Linked DNA regions of Caenorhabditis elegans. The protein of the gene in region 2 binds, or shares a complex with, the protein of the main gene of each other region. Each region holds a gene or a part of one and is shown on either strand. Other genes may lie near its edges. A codon is read from its position in the direction of its gene.

Region 1 (8,042 bases), on a different chromosome or scaffold from region 2:
TCACCCAATCCGCCACATTTTGACATGCGCTCAGTATGACAAGCTTAAAAGAAAAACACGAGTAGCATTCTGAAACGAGGATTGAACGTACGGATTGCTATAACAAGTTTGATCAAGAGCAGAGACTCTATATCTCCTGCTTATCTCTCGACAATGGTGTCCGTCCACCGGCAGAATGAGAAGAAGCATTTGTCGGGGAAGAGGATGTAACTAGCGTTGGTTCGGTGGGGGGAGATATTGCTTTGAGAGGAGAAAACGAAGGTTGACAAGAAGAGTTGAGCCTGAAGATAAAGAAGAACACCACATTTTTGTTTGATTGTCACATCCGACCGGACTACTACTTTTTTGCGTAATTTTTAGATTGTATGATTTTCTCTAATTTCACCTCTATCGAATTGCACCTGACCTTTCCGACACTTGAGAGATATGTTGTTCTTATTTTCTCTTTGAAAGTCCAAAAAGTTCGAGAGATCGCATTTCACACCATGTCCCTCAAGAAATGTTTCTATTATTCTTATCCCAAAAATTTGAAACATGAAGGAGTTTTTTATATTTTAAAACATATTTTGTATATTGTTTTTAGTTAGATTAAAAAAACATATGTTGTTGCTGCAACAGTTAGAAGTTTAAGTATTTATTCTCTGTTTCATCTTTAAAACAGATACAAATTGTTACAATTTTTACGGGTCCTTCTATGTGTATTAAATAATTGTTTCCAAAAACAAACAACATTGAGGGAAATTAAGATGTAAAAAAATAAAATAGTGGAATTGTCAAATACCATATTAAGACACCTTGCCATGTTGACACTTGATATTAAGAAATATTCAACAAATTCTCCTTTTTAAGTACTATATAATTCATTATGTGTGTACTAATTAAGTCAGGAAATTTAGAAAATACTTTTATACTTGTAAAATTATGAAAAACATGAAAATATGGTGTAAACCGTTTTTTTTAAATTCAAACCTCTTCACTTTTTACGTCTTCATTTCTCGACATTTAAAATCTCTGTTTTAACTCAAAAATTCACTTAGGATTCGAACTAATTGTTAAAAAAGAAAACATTAAAAACTAAATGGAACAACGAAGATCTTTATGACACTGATACTCAAATTTTACATCCCCTCTTAAGTTTACGACCCCTCTCCTCCTTTCCACTGCTCATTTCCTCCGCAAATGTTTTCCTAGCGATGTTCGTTTTTTTTTTTCAATTCAGACGTGCTCAATTGCGAACTTCTTACTCGCGAATTAGATCGGCAATCTGATGAGTATGTTTTGCTCTGTAGATTGGCCTCGAAAAAGAAACCGCATCAACAAGAGATTGAGACAGACGGTGGCTTGTGTTATTTGCCATCGACATCAAAATCAAACGTGAGGTGGTTGCAAACTCATCTCCAATTTGCTCTTTTCTCATCAATTGTTATCAATATCCTTCCCAGACCCGTCGTCTTTTTTCTCCTTGGCCGACGACGAGTCAAAGGCAAAAAATGTGTCTTTGCTCTGTGTTTCTTGCGTGTCTTCTGTCACAGACTACTCTTCTGTGTGCTTCTTTTCGGTCTCCAACCCGCAAAAATTTCATTCATTACATCGCTTGTTGCATTTCGAGCACCTCCCGCTGGCCGCGCTCACTATCACTTGTTTCATATCACAATTTTTACATAATGTGGCTCACACCAGACACATGGCCCGCGTCATCCACCACCATCAGATAACCGCTCTTTTCCATCTTGTTAAGTTTCTCAGACGCGCAAAAAATGACTTCACTCCGTCAATTGTCTCCGTGTTCTCTCTTAAACGTTTGCTTTTTTCTAATCATATCGCAATCGCCATTACTCACAAACCACTTCCGATCCGCAATCTTCCCGTTGTCTTTCTATGAGAGATTTAGTGCTAAAAATAAATAATATTATTGATCATCTAAGAAGCTGTCAACTGGACGCATCGAGCAGTGGACGCCGGCGTGCAGTCATCTAAAGCACGATGCCGAAATCAGGCGCTCATCAGCCTCTGGTTCGACATGACACTGATGATGGTGGGGAAACAGGACAGTCCGTTAAGTCTCTAGCGGATGTTTCTGAAGAGGAAATTGATAGTCGAATGAGTAGAAGATCGTCAGTTATTGTACGTTTTCAAACTCGCTTTGTAAATTCTTGACAATTATGCAGTATTTTATAAATAAAAATTATTTAAAAAATGAATTACAATTTCGTAAAAACTAGAAGTGAAATAAACGTTTAGTTTTCATTTGTTAAGACAAAAACGTATGCTCTTGAAATTCACAGAAACAATCAAGGTGTATAAAAACTATCAATTCAAAAATTATATAGTATTGCTCTGAAGTTGTGAAAGAGTAAAAATGTTTCCAAGTCCAGATTATAACAGCTAACACTTGTTTCATATATTTAAATTAATTTGATTTTCAGGCTGATCTGCTTTCTCTTTTTCGCCGTTCCTCCAGTGTTCTTGTTCGACCACATACACGATTAGGAAATCCCAATTTTGACGAGTGAGTTTTCCAAAAAATTTATTCACTTTCCAGCATTTTGTTCAATTTTCACATTACAGTGACGATGACGAATTCGACGAAGAAGACGACAAAGAAGCTTCGAAAGATAGGATACTCAAGAAAATTCAACAAAAGAAAGAAATTATACAAAAATTACGTGGCCAGCCGTGGTATATGAAAAGAAAACGGCGGACGTTGAAGTAAGACCGCTATGAACATTTGAGCGAAACGTCAAAATCGGAAATTTCAGAGTAGCACAAAAACATCTACAACAGCAAGAAGCAAAAGTCTCGAAAGCAAGATTATACAAAGCAGAGGCTGGTCGAAGATTGACACAAGCCAGTCGATGGTTGGATAATCTCAAAATTTATTTGATACCCTGGGAAGCAAAGATTCGAAAAATTGAAAGCCACTTTGGATCAGTTGTGTCGTCATATTTTACATTTCATCGATGGGTTCTCGGAGTTAACATCACAATCACATTTATTATGTGTATGTTCGTAGTTATACCTGAGGTGAGCTTCTACAAGCTTATAAAAACTTCAACGCTTCAAAAATAGGGCCTCCAATTTTGAACTAAAGAAAAGTTTGATGTACAATAAATGCGGGAATTGTTCGCCCGGAAAAATTTGACGTCAGCACGCTTTTAATCATGCTAAATCAGTAAAGGAATTCGCGTCTAGAAGCGTCTAAATTCCAGCAGTTTTTGATGATCAAGCCAAAATAGAACATTCTGACGTGCACGAGATTTTTTAATGATGATATGTCTTGGTTTTACACCTCAGATTATAATTTTCAGTGGCTCGCCGACTCTCGAACTCAATTCGGTGATGACAGATACAATAAGACAAAGGCCATCAAAGTAATGCCACCAGCTGTTCGTGCTCGTGCCGACGAGCTATCCACAGTCTGGGACTTTGGGGTGAGTTGTAATGATAACAGATAAAACCAATGTTCAATGGTTTTTTTTTCAGGGCTACTTTCAATACTCTTTATTATTTTACGGTTTTTACTCGAAAGAAACGTTTTTCGGAGAAACAATCAAATATCGTGTTCCAGTGGCTTATTTTTTCTGCAACATTTTTATTCTAGGATTTTCACTTTTCATCATCTTGAGGAAGTGAGTTTGAAAAAAAAAAGAAAATCAGATAGAACAGAAAAAAAAACAAACTCGTCCTAATTAAAGAATGGCGGCTAACAATCGTCGTGGGACCTTATCATCAGGAAAAACGCAACAGTATTTATTCAATTGGAAAGCTTTCACAGGCTGGGATTATACTATAGGTGAGCGTTCAGTTTTTTCGAGATTAATTTTATATTCTGAAAATTTAGGTAATCCTGAAACTGCTGGAAATGTCTATATGGCAAACGTTATAAAATTTCGTGAAGCAATAAACGATGATAAACAAAAGCCAAGTGACAAACATCCCTGGATTCGGTTTGTAGCACGTGTTCTTACAAATCTTTTCATTTGCGCAATGTATGTGTTCTCAATATGGGCCATTATGCAATGCGGAACTTTGAAAGGAGAACACTTTTTTGCGCAGGTTAGTAGTTCTTAGATGCTCAATAACACTATTAACTTATTCAGAATGCCACTGCTATAACCATTTCTCTCATTACATTAGTTTTCCCGAATATTTTTGATCTGCTGGGTAAAATTGAAAAGCTACACCCGAGAAATGCATTGAGGTTCCAACTTGGAAGGTATGTTTCAAAAAAATTTGAGCTTATGGAATTTGAGTAGAGGAATTTTTTCAGAGTGCTTGTTCTATACATTCTGAATTACTACACTCTGATTTATTCATTGATGTTGCAATTGGAGCATTTGCAGAAAGAGAAAAATGCCTCTGATAATCCAATTTCTGCACTTGGCCATCCAGGAGATGCAATAGGAAGGTTCGTGAGGTTACGCTTTTAATTAAACGGTTTCAAATAATTTATTGTAGTATGATAAGAATGGTTTGACTATTCTTTTTTTTTAAATAAAAAAACAGGAAACCGACGCTGCATACCTACAAAAGTCACTGATATAATTTATTCCAGAACAATACGTGAGACAGTGTTGCCTCGATATCCGGTAGACAACAATCCCCATACATACTACTCCTACGCCCCAGTTACAACAACTCCCATCCCTGCAACCAGTTCGTGGACAACTGTGCTTCCCGACTTTGGACCATTTGGAGTGTATAACCCGAAAGCATCAGTCACTAAGGACGATACAGTTTTCTCTTCTCCAGTTGTAGAAACGCACATGTTTGGACCAAACTCAGACTGGAATGAGACAACTGTGAATGCAGCAAGCCCAACGGGGTAATATAATTATTTGTTTTCTAATTGTAGGCATAACTTTTACAGAGCCACAACACGTGCATCACTCCGTATGTCTCAAGGAGGTCTTTGTTGGGAAACAATCATTGGCCAAGAAATAACAAAACTTGTGACAATGGACTTGTACATGACAGTCGCTTCAATTTTTCTGATTGATTTTCTTCGTGGTTTGGCATGTCGATATTTGAATTTATATTGGCCATGGGATTTGGAGAGAACATTTGTGAGTTTTTAAATTAATTTAGTCTGTATTGATTTGCTGTGTTTAAAGGGGCTCAAGACCATACCAAGTTTGGTGTTTCTGAAGTGTTAAGGACTTTTGGGCGATAAATAACTTAAAATATGGATTTTATTCTCTTTGCACATTGAAAATTGCTGTGACATTGGCAAATAGGTAAAATTTCAAATTTTAAATAATTTTATTTTAACTTATCATTTCTTAGGCCGTCATAACTTTTTTGAGAATTTTTCAATAAGTTTCATTATGAAATAGGGTGTTATTAGACAATTTTGATTCTAATAAAGCAATAAAAATAATTCGACTACACCATCTTTAACCACTGCTCACATACTTTTATTCAACATTTTATACATTTAAAATTTCAGCCTGAGTACGGAGAATTCAAAGTTGCTGAAAATGTGCTTCACTTGGTAAATAATCAAGGTAGGACAGATCAAACATTGTCTGCAAATATGCTGTTGCGTTTTTAAGGAATGATATGGCTCGGGCTCTTCTTTGTTCCACTTCTCCCAATGCTGAATAACATAAAATTGATTATCTTGATGTACATTCGAGGATGGGCTGCAATGACGTGCAATGTTCCGGCCAGTCAAATCTTTCGTGCCAGTCGTTCGTCCAACTTTTTCTTTGCACTACTAATACTGTTCCTATTCCTCTGTACACTTCCAGTCGGATTTGTTATAGCTTCAAAAACTCCGAGTAAAAGTTGTGGTCCATTTGGGTAAGAGTTTGATAAATTAAAACTTCAAATAAGTTTAATAAAAATTCAATATTTTTACATCTGTATTTTAAAGTACATCCTTAATATAAAGAAAATTGGGCTTAGCGTATATTTTTGAAGGTTCCCAATCACATATACGAATTTCAGAAATCAATCATTCTTCTACAGTGTCATTACTGATGTTCTTCATGAAAACTTAGACAAAACCCTTGTTAATGGTATCAAGTACAGTTTGTCTCCAGGAATCATTATTCCAGTTTTAGTACTGTTGTCGTAAGTTTTAAAACATTTGTAAATTTTTAAGTAGCTAAAAATTCCAGACTGGTTATATATTTCCTCATTGCAATGGTTACCGGATTATCACAAGCTAATCAAGACCTGTCATTTCAACTTATGGTGGTATGATTTTTAAAATTGTTTTATCAAAATTTAGTCCTATTCGAAATTTGACTGTCAAATGTAATGCAATGAAACATCACACTGAACATTTCCAGGAACGGACAGAAGAGAAGAAAAAAATCTTTGAGCTTGCCGGGGGAAAGAAGAAAAAGAGCAAAGACAACACATTTGGAAAACAAAAACCAAAACAATTACTACCCCCACCAACAAAAGGAGTTTCTTCTGATGATGATTCCCAGCACAATAGATCAACTGCTAAAAGTGTATCAGGTCGCCAATTTGTACCTTCATTAGGATCAGTATCAGAAGTTGATCACAGCACCGGTGAAGAACAATCTTCTGATAGTGAATCAACAACATCGTCGCTTCCGCCAAAGTTATCTCTTCGTCAGAGGTTTTTAGTATGCATTGGCTGGGCTGATCCAAATAAATATGGGCGACATGATGATATTGAAATGGAAGAAGGTGGTGGAAGGCTTCGAGAATTATCAACTGGTTCCGAAACAGATTCAGATGATGAGGATAGCGAAAAGAGGTAGTTTTTTTTATTCATATTTGCTTTTTTTCCGGGCCATTTTTTTAAAAGTAGTTTTCTTAGAAAAAATTTGTACTCGGATTTAAGTGTCACGTAGTTCCTCTAAAAGTTAATATTTTCAGAAACTCCGAAAGCAGATATCTTCTGCCACCCGACGGTTCTCGTCCAGCATCTAGAGAACGATCAGAAAATCCAAGTAAACGAAGCTCACAAAGTAGAAGAACAAGGCAAGCATCAATTATCACAGCAATCACTATTTACAAAATAATTATTTTTCAGTAATCGTGACATGTCCTACCGTACAGCTATCCAATCATTCGATCAAAACTCACAATCCGCATCAGCGTCTTCATCAAAATCTACTACTACTGCACCGTCCAATTCTGAAATGAGAATGTAAGTTTGATTGAAGGAAGACGTTTGGTTTGAATATTGTGAGAAGTTTTCGAAACGAGCACTTTTAATTTGCAGTGAGATCACAGAAAATCCACTTCACACTTACATCACACCTTTGCGAATTGAGAAAAAGTTTGTTATTGGTTTTATAACTGCTCTTATCACCTATGTTATACATTTTAGGAGCTCTGCTAGTTCATCAAGTAGCTCGCATCAGCCATCATCTTCAATTGAGAAACAAGCTGCAAGGAGGCTTCTGCAGCCAATTAGTACAACACACAATATTCGATATGGGTAAGGAATAACAATAACTTTTGGAAACCTGTTTTCACGACTTGATATTTTCAAATATACATTTCTCATTCAGTGCCTGAAATTAGCATTTAAAAAATATTATATCACTTTCTGAGCTACAGTATTATCACTACGAGCTTCACTTTGTTCGTTCATTGTTTTGTTCTGGATTTTTTTACTGATCGTATTTTTATTTCAAATGGTTGGCAGTACGTGATCAGAGACACGAAACAGGAAAATACATCACGTTTTGTGAAAAAAGACCTTTCAGATTCGATATTAGGTTTTTGACCGGCAAAAATACTTTGGTAGCTTAAGATAATCATTATAAATATTTTCAGAGTTGCTACGGTAGAAAACTCTTCCCAAGATCCAACTCGTCCTCCATCAACAGACGATTCACTTGGCGATCCTGCACTTCATGAACCACTATGGGCAAATCTGAATCCTCACAGCAGGTAGAAATGAAAAACTATATTGAAACTTTATCAATTTACCATGATTTCAGCTACACCTCTGCAATGATGTCTCCAATTATGAATGAGGTTATGTCAAATGATGAGACAACTGATGACGAGAAAGGGCGTTTGATTCCTGATAGGTAGGAAATCAG
Region 2 (3,956 bases):
AAAATATTATTTTCTATGAAATAAGTATTTTGAATTAAAAAATTCATTCCGGCTAATTTAAGCAAGAAAATCTAGAATTTTTTCCTCGAAAACACTTCTTTTTTAATTCCAAAAACTGTAGAAAATTTGATTTAATTTTTATATATTTTGGCGTTTTTTTTGCCGGCCGTGCTCATAAAAATTGAAAATTTCCAAAATTACAGTTGTCGAATAGAGAAAAATCGGCCAAAAATTATTATCGATTTTTGAAATTTTGAAATTCCCTTGCCGGTTGACGAAAAATCGTTAACATATTCAAAACTTCGTTTTTTTTAGCAATTATATTTAATCAGCAGATGAATGTTTTTCAAAAATGTAGCCTCTAACAGTTTAATTTTAATTTAAAAAAATCACATTTTCTGACTTTTTTTTTGAGTCGCGAAATTTATTGCTTCTTTTTTTTTCAATTTTTGCCATAATTTTTAGTTTTAAAATTTCGATTTTTTGCCGCAAAAAAAAAACCACCAATATATACTAACTTAATCTTCCCGTGAAATTTTTTCCGTGTCAAATATCCTATTAAATATGGCTCCAACTTGTGAGCCAATTCGATTCGTCGTCTCTGCGTCTCCTCCTCTTCACGCTCTCTCGCATTCTTTTGAAGAGTTCGTAGAATATTATCCATTATTGATTGATTATCTTCGTAATTTCATACTAAAAAAACCCGCATCTAACCACGTTGCAAAATTGTCTATCGAGTATTAGAAAATCGGAAAATTTTACCGAAGTAATAATAATAAAAAATACGGCAAAAAAGCAAATGTTTTCATATTAAAAATTCAATTTATTTACAAAAAGATCCAAAAAAAAGGTTTAAATCATCAATTTCATCAATTTAAACTTGAGATTGAATACGTGAGCCAGTATGACGTGAGCTGCTTGTGCTCGGAGCACCTCCACCACCTCCAGAAGGCATTGAGTTCATCACGATTGCCTGAGCACGTTCGTCGTCTGGAAAAAAACATGATTTTTGGCGAAAAATTGAGAAAATTCAAAAAATTTCACCCCAAAAATTTGAGTTCCCGCCGGGAGACACCACGGAATGATCAATTTCGTAGAACCAAATCTACGGGAATACGAGCGGGATATAATAAAATTTAGTCTTTGGATTATTTGAGATTTTTCACCAAAATTTCACCAAAAATTTCATATTACCGCCGGTTGACACCACGGTTCAAAGGGAAATCTTATTCCGCAGATCCGAATTCACGGGAAAGTGGGCGGAGCGTTATACTCAGAATTTGAGAGGAAAATTTTTAGAAATTTGCAGTTTCTACTGAAAATTGCTTGAAAAATCGATAATTTCACTGAAAAATTTGAATTCCCGCCTGGAGACACCACGGTTCGGGGGGAAGTGTTATTCCGCAGAACCGAAATCGCGGAAACTAAAAACTCCTCCTTCTTTCACAGAGTTGGAATCTGCAGAACATTAATTTCCACCGGATTTGTAGTGACTGGGGCGGCGGCGGGAATTCGAATTTTCAGTGACAACCTCGCTTTTAAGCTCAAAAAAAACTCACTGTGAGCATTGGCTTCTGCCGAATTTTTGGTGCTTTTTCTCAATTTTCGTTTCGCAGCAATCAGATCGATTTGTCGTTTTGTACGTGGAATTCGGATTCTCATGAAGCAGCACACGATGACAACTGGAAAATGGAAAAAAATTGGGGTTTTTGGGTCTACGGAACTGTGGGTTTCCTCGGATGTTGTGGTGACTGGGGAGAGAAATTCCACGTTTCTGTGTCTACGGAAGAGGATTTTCCTTAACTGAGTCACTGCAACTTCAGGGAATGGTCAATTCCTTGGAACCGAAAACTCGAAGTTTCAACGGGAGTCACCAGGATGTCTCTCGGTGGAATCCTACTCCCGTAGAAGTGAAAACTTGAAGTTTTTGAAGTCACCATGGAAACCCAACTCCCGTAGAACTAGAAACTTCAAGTTTTGGAGTCACCACGCACACCCTACTCCCGTGGAACTCGAAACATGACTCAAAACTCACTCATAATGAGCAAAACTCCTCCAACAAGTGCAATGAGCATCCATAATCGTAAGCCGGGAGCCACAAATTGATCAAGTGCCGATAAATGATTGATTTCTTCATTTCCAGACGGCATTACCTAGTTTTTCGTCTTCACCGAAAAATGAAGAAAATGTGAGAAAAGAATCTGAAGAATCGGAAGTCGCCACGGAAATTGAAGTGAAAATTGTGAATTGAGGCGGAGCAGGTTTTACGACTTTTTTAAGACTTGGAAATTTGCCGGAAATTGGAAAGGATTTTTTAAGTGAAAAATATTAAAAATTTAGGGGAATTTTTAATTCAAAACTGTTTTTTAAAAATGTAATTTCTTGATTTTTTCAATTTTTTTTTGAATTTTTACCCTAAAAATTTTTTTTGGATTTTCAAGCAAAAACTTTTTGGATTTTCAAGCAATTTTAGGAAATAATGATTTAATCTTCTCAATTTTTCAGCAAAAAAACTCTAAAAATGATTAGAAATCCACTAGTCTACACATTTTTGCTTCACCATTTTTCAATATTTTTTATCGATAAATTTTTTCAAAATTTTCGAAAAAATTGTTTTTTTTTTCAGAAAAATCGAAATTTTTCCAACAAAATAAAAACCAAATTTCAAACGTTTTCGAATTTCTCTGAAAATTTTTTTTTTTCAATTTCTTCAGTAAATTCCAAATGAAAAAACGTCCTATTTTCACTTTTTTTCGCTTTTTTTTAAAAAAAATTCGCAATTTTTCAACAAAAAAAAATTGAATTTTTAAATTTTTTCGAATTTCTCTGAAAAATTGTTTTTTTTTCAATTTATTTCAGTAAATTCCAAATAAAAAAGAAACTTTTTTGTTTTTTTTCCGAAAACAATACACAATTTTTCATTTAAATTCGAAAAGTTTGATTTTTATTTTGCAAAATCCAATCCACTAATATTCAAATTTTTCAGTTTAAAAAAATTTGAAAAAACTTTTTTTTTAATCTAAAAAATCCACAATTTTTCAATTTTTTCCAAAATTTCAAAAACTTAAATTTATTCATTTTAAAGTATGAAACAGGAACAAACACGAGAAAATATATAAATTTTGTGTTAAAAGTTCGAGATTTCCCATAGGGAACAAGAAGAAGAGAGGGAAGAGAAGGGAGCAGAGCGGTGGTGGTGGGATATAATGGGACGAAGAACTGCCGGGGAGAAGAAGCCTGGAGCTTCTGCTGTGGACACCAATACAACTGAGACATTCTCTGCTTCTCTGATATCTCTCCATCTCTCACTCACTGCTCGACTTTGGGAGAAGCAGGAGAGGTACACACCGGAAATGAGAGAGAGACAAAGAGCCCGCAGCTCCTGTTGCTCCATTTTATTTAAATTAAAGGTGGAGTTAGGGATGGACGGCAATTCGGCAAATTACCGATTTGCCGGAAATTTTCAATTCTGGCAAATTGCCGGTTTACCGGAAAATTTAATTTTCGGAAAATTGCCGATTTGCCGGAAATTTTTCAATTCTTGCAAATTGCCGATTTGGCGGAAATTTGAATTATCGGCAAATTGCAATTTGCCGGAAACTTTCAATTCCGGCAATTCGTCGGTTTGCCGGAAACTTTAAATTCTGACAAGTTACCAATTTGCCGGAAATTTTCAATTCTGACAAATTGCCGATTTGTCGGAAATTTTAATTTTCGGAAAATTGCCGGTTTGCTAACTTGCAGGAAATTTTCAATTTCGGCAAGTTGCCGTTTGCCGAACATCAATTTGCCGGAATTTTTAGAGGGATTGTTATAAGACGGAAACACTTAAAACTGTGCTTTTTTTCCAAAAAAAAATGTGCAAAACACAATTTGCCGAAAATTTCCGGCAAATTCGGCAAATTGCCGGTTTGCCGGAATCTTTCAATTCCGGCAATTTGCCGATTTTAATGCGT

The links.
Region 1: the proteins of tmie-1 (region 2) and tmc-2 are in contact, whole or in part, in a cryo-EM structure (PDB 8TKP), measured with the Caenorhabditis elegans proteins. Residues at the interface, in NP_001379030.1 of Caenorhabditis elegans: Arg23 (codon at 2,084), Trp25 (codon at 2,078), Met26 (codon at 2,075), Cys43 (codon at 1,671), Ile48 (codon at 1,656), Arg49 (codon at 1,653), Ile50 (codon at 1,650), Pro51 (codon at 1,647), Arg52 (codon at 1,644), Thr53 (codon at 1,641), Lys54 (codon at 1,638), Ile57 (codon at 1,629), Ala61 (codon at 1,617); in NP_001335510.1 of Caenorhabditis elegans: His176 (codon at 2,920), Ala239 (codon at 3,393), Asp242 (codon at 3,402), Glu243 (codon at 3,405), Leu244 (codon at 3,408), Val247 (codon at 3,417), Glu336 (codon at 3,850), Phe623 (codon at 5,001), Gly626 (codon at 5,010), Leu627 (codon at 5,013), Arg630 (codon at 5,022), Glu641 (codon at 5,055), Arg642 (codon at 5,058), Tyr647 (codon at 5,456), Trp693 (codon at 5,642), Ala695 (codon at 5,648), Met696 (codon at 5,651), Thr697 (codon at 5,654), Cys698 (codon at 5,657), Asn699 (codon at 5,660), Val700 (codon at 5,663), Pro701 (codon at 5,666).

Annotation. Positions count from the first base shown.
Region 1 is NC_003284.9:9,301,799-9,309,840, forward strand, and holds the start of tmc-2 (Transmembrane channel-like protein 2), read left to right. Parts: upstream 1-1,925; 5' UTR 1,926-1,983; coding exon 1,984-2,124; intron 2,125-2,426; coding exon 2,427-2,509; intron 2,510-2,568; coding exon 2,569-2,709; intron 2,710-2,759; coding exon 2,760-3,024; intron 3,025-3,308; coding exon 3,309-3,431; intron 3,432-3,483; coding exon 3,484-3,629; intron 3,630-3,695; coding exon 3,696-3,793; intron 3,794-3,841; coding exon 3,842-4,056; intron 4,057-4,100; coding exon 4,101-4,216; intron 4,217-4,270; coding exon 4,271-4,408; intron 4,409-4,555; coding exon 4,556-4,825; intron 4,826-4,870; coding exon 4,871-5,066; intron 5,067-5,449; coding exon 5,450-5,507; intron 5,508-5,555; coding exon 5,556-5,805; intron 5,806-5,952; coding exon 5,953-6,078; intron 6,079-6,125; coding exon 6,126-6,204; intron 6,205-6,299; coding exon 6,300-6,739; intron 6,740-6,861; coding exon 6,862-6,966; intron 6,967-7,018; coding exon 7,019-7,135; intron 7,136-7,210; and 8 more. UniProt on the Caenorhabditis elegans protein: Probable ion channel.
Region 2 is NC_003281.10:10,855,021-10,858,976, reverse strand, and holds tmie-1 (Transmembrane inner ear), read right to left. Parts: upstream 2,202-3,956; 5' UTR 2,151-2,201; coding exon 2,036-2,150; intron 1,683-2,035; coding exon 1,560-1,682; intron 991-1,559; coding exon 875-990; 3' UTR 791-874; downstream 1-790. Other genes in the region: oxi-1 (Ubiquitin-protein ligase E3B), read right to left, coding at 519-664.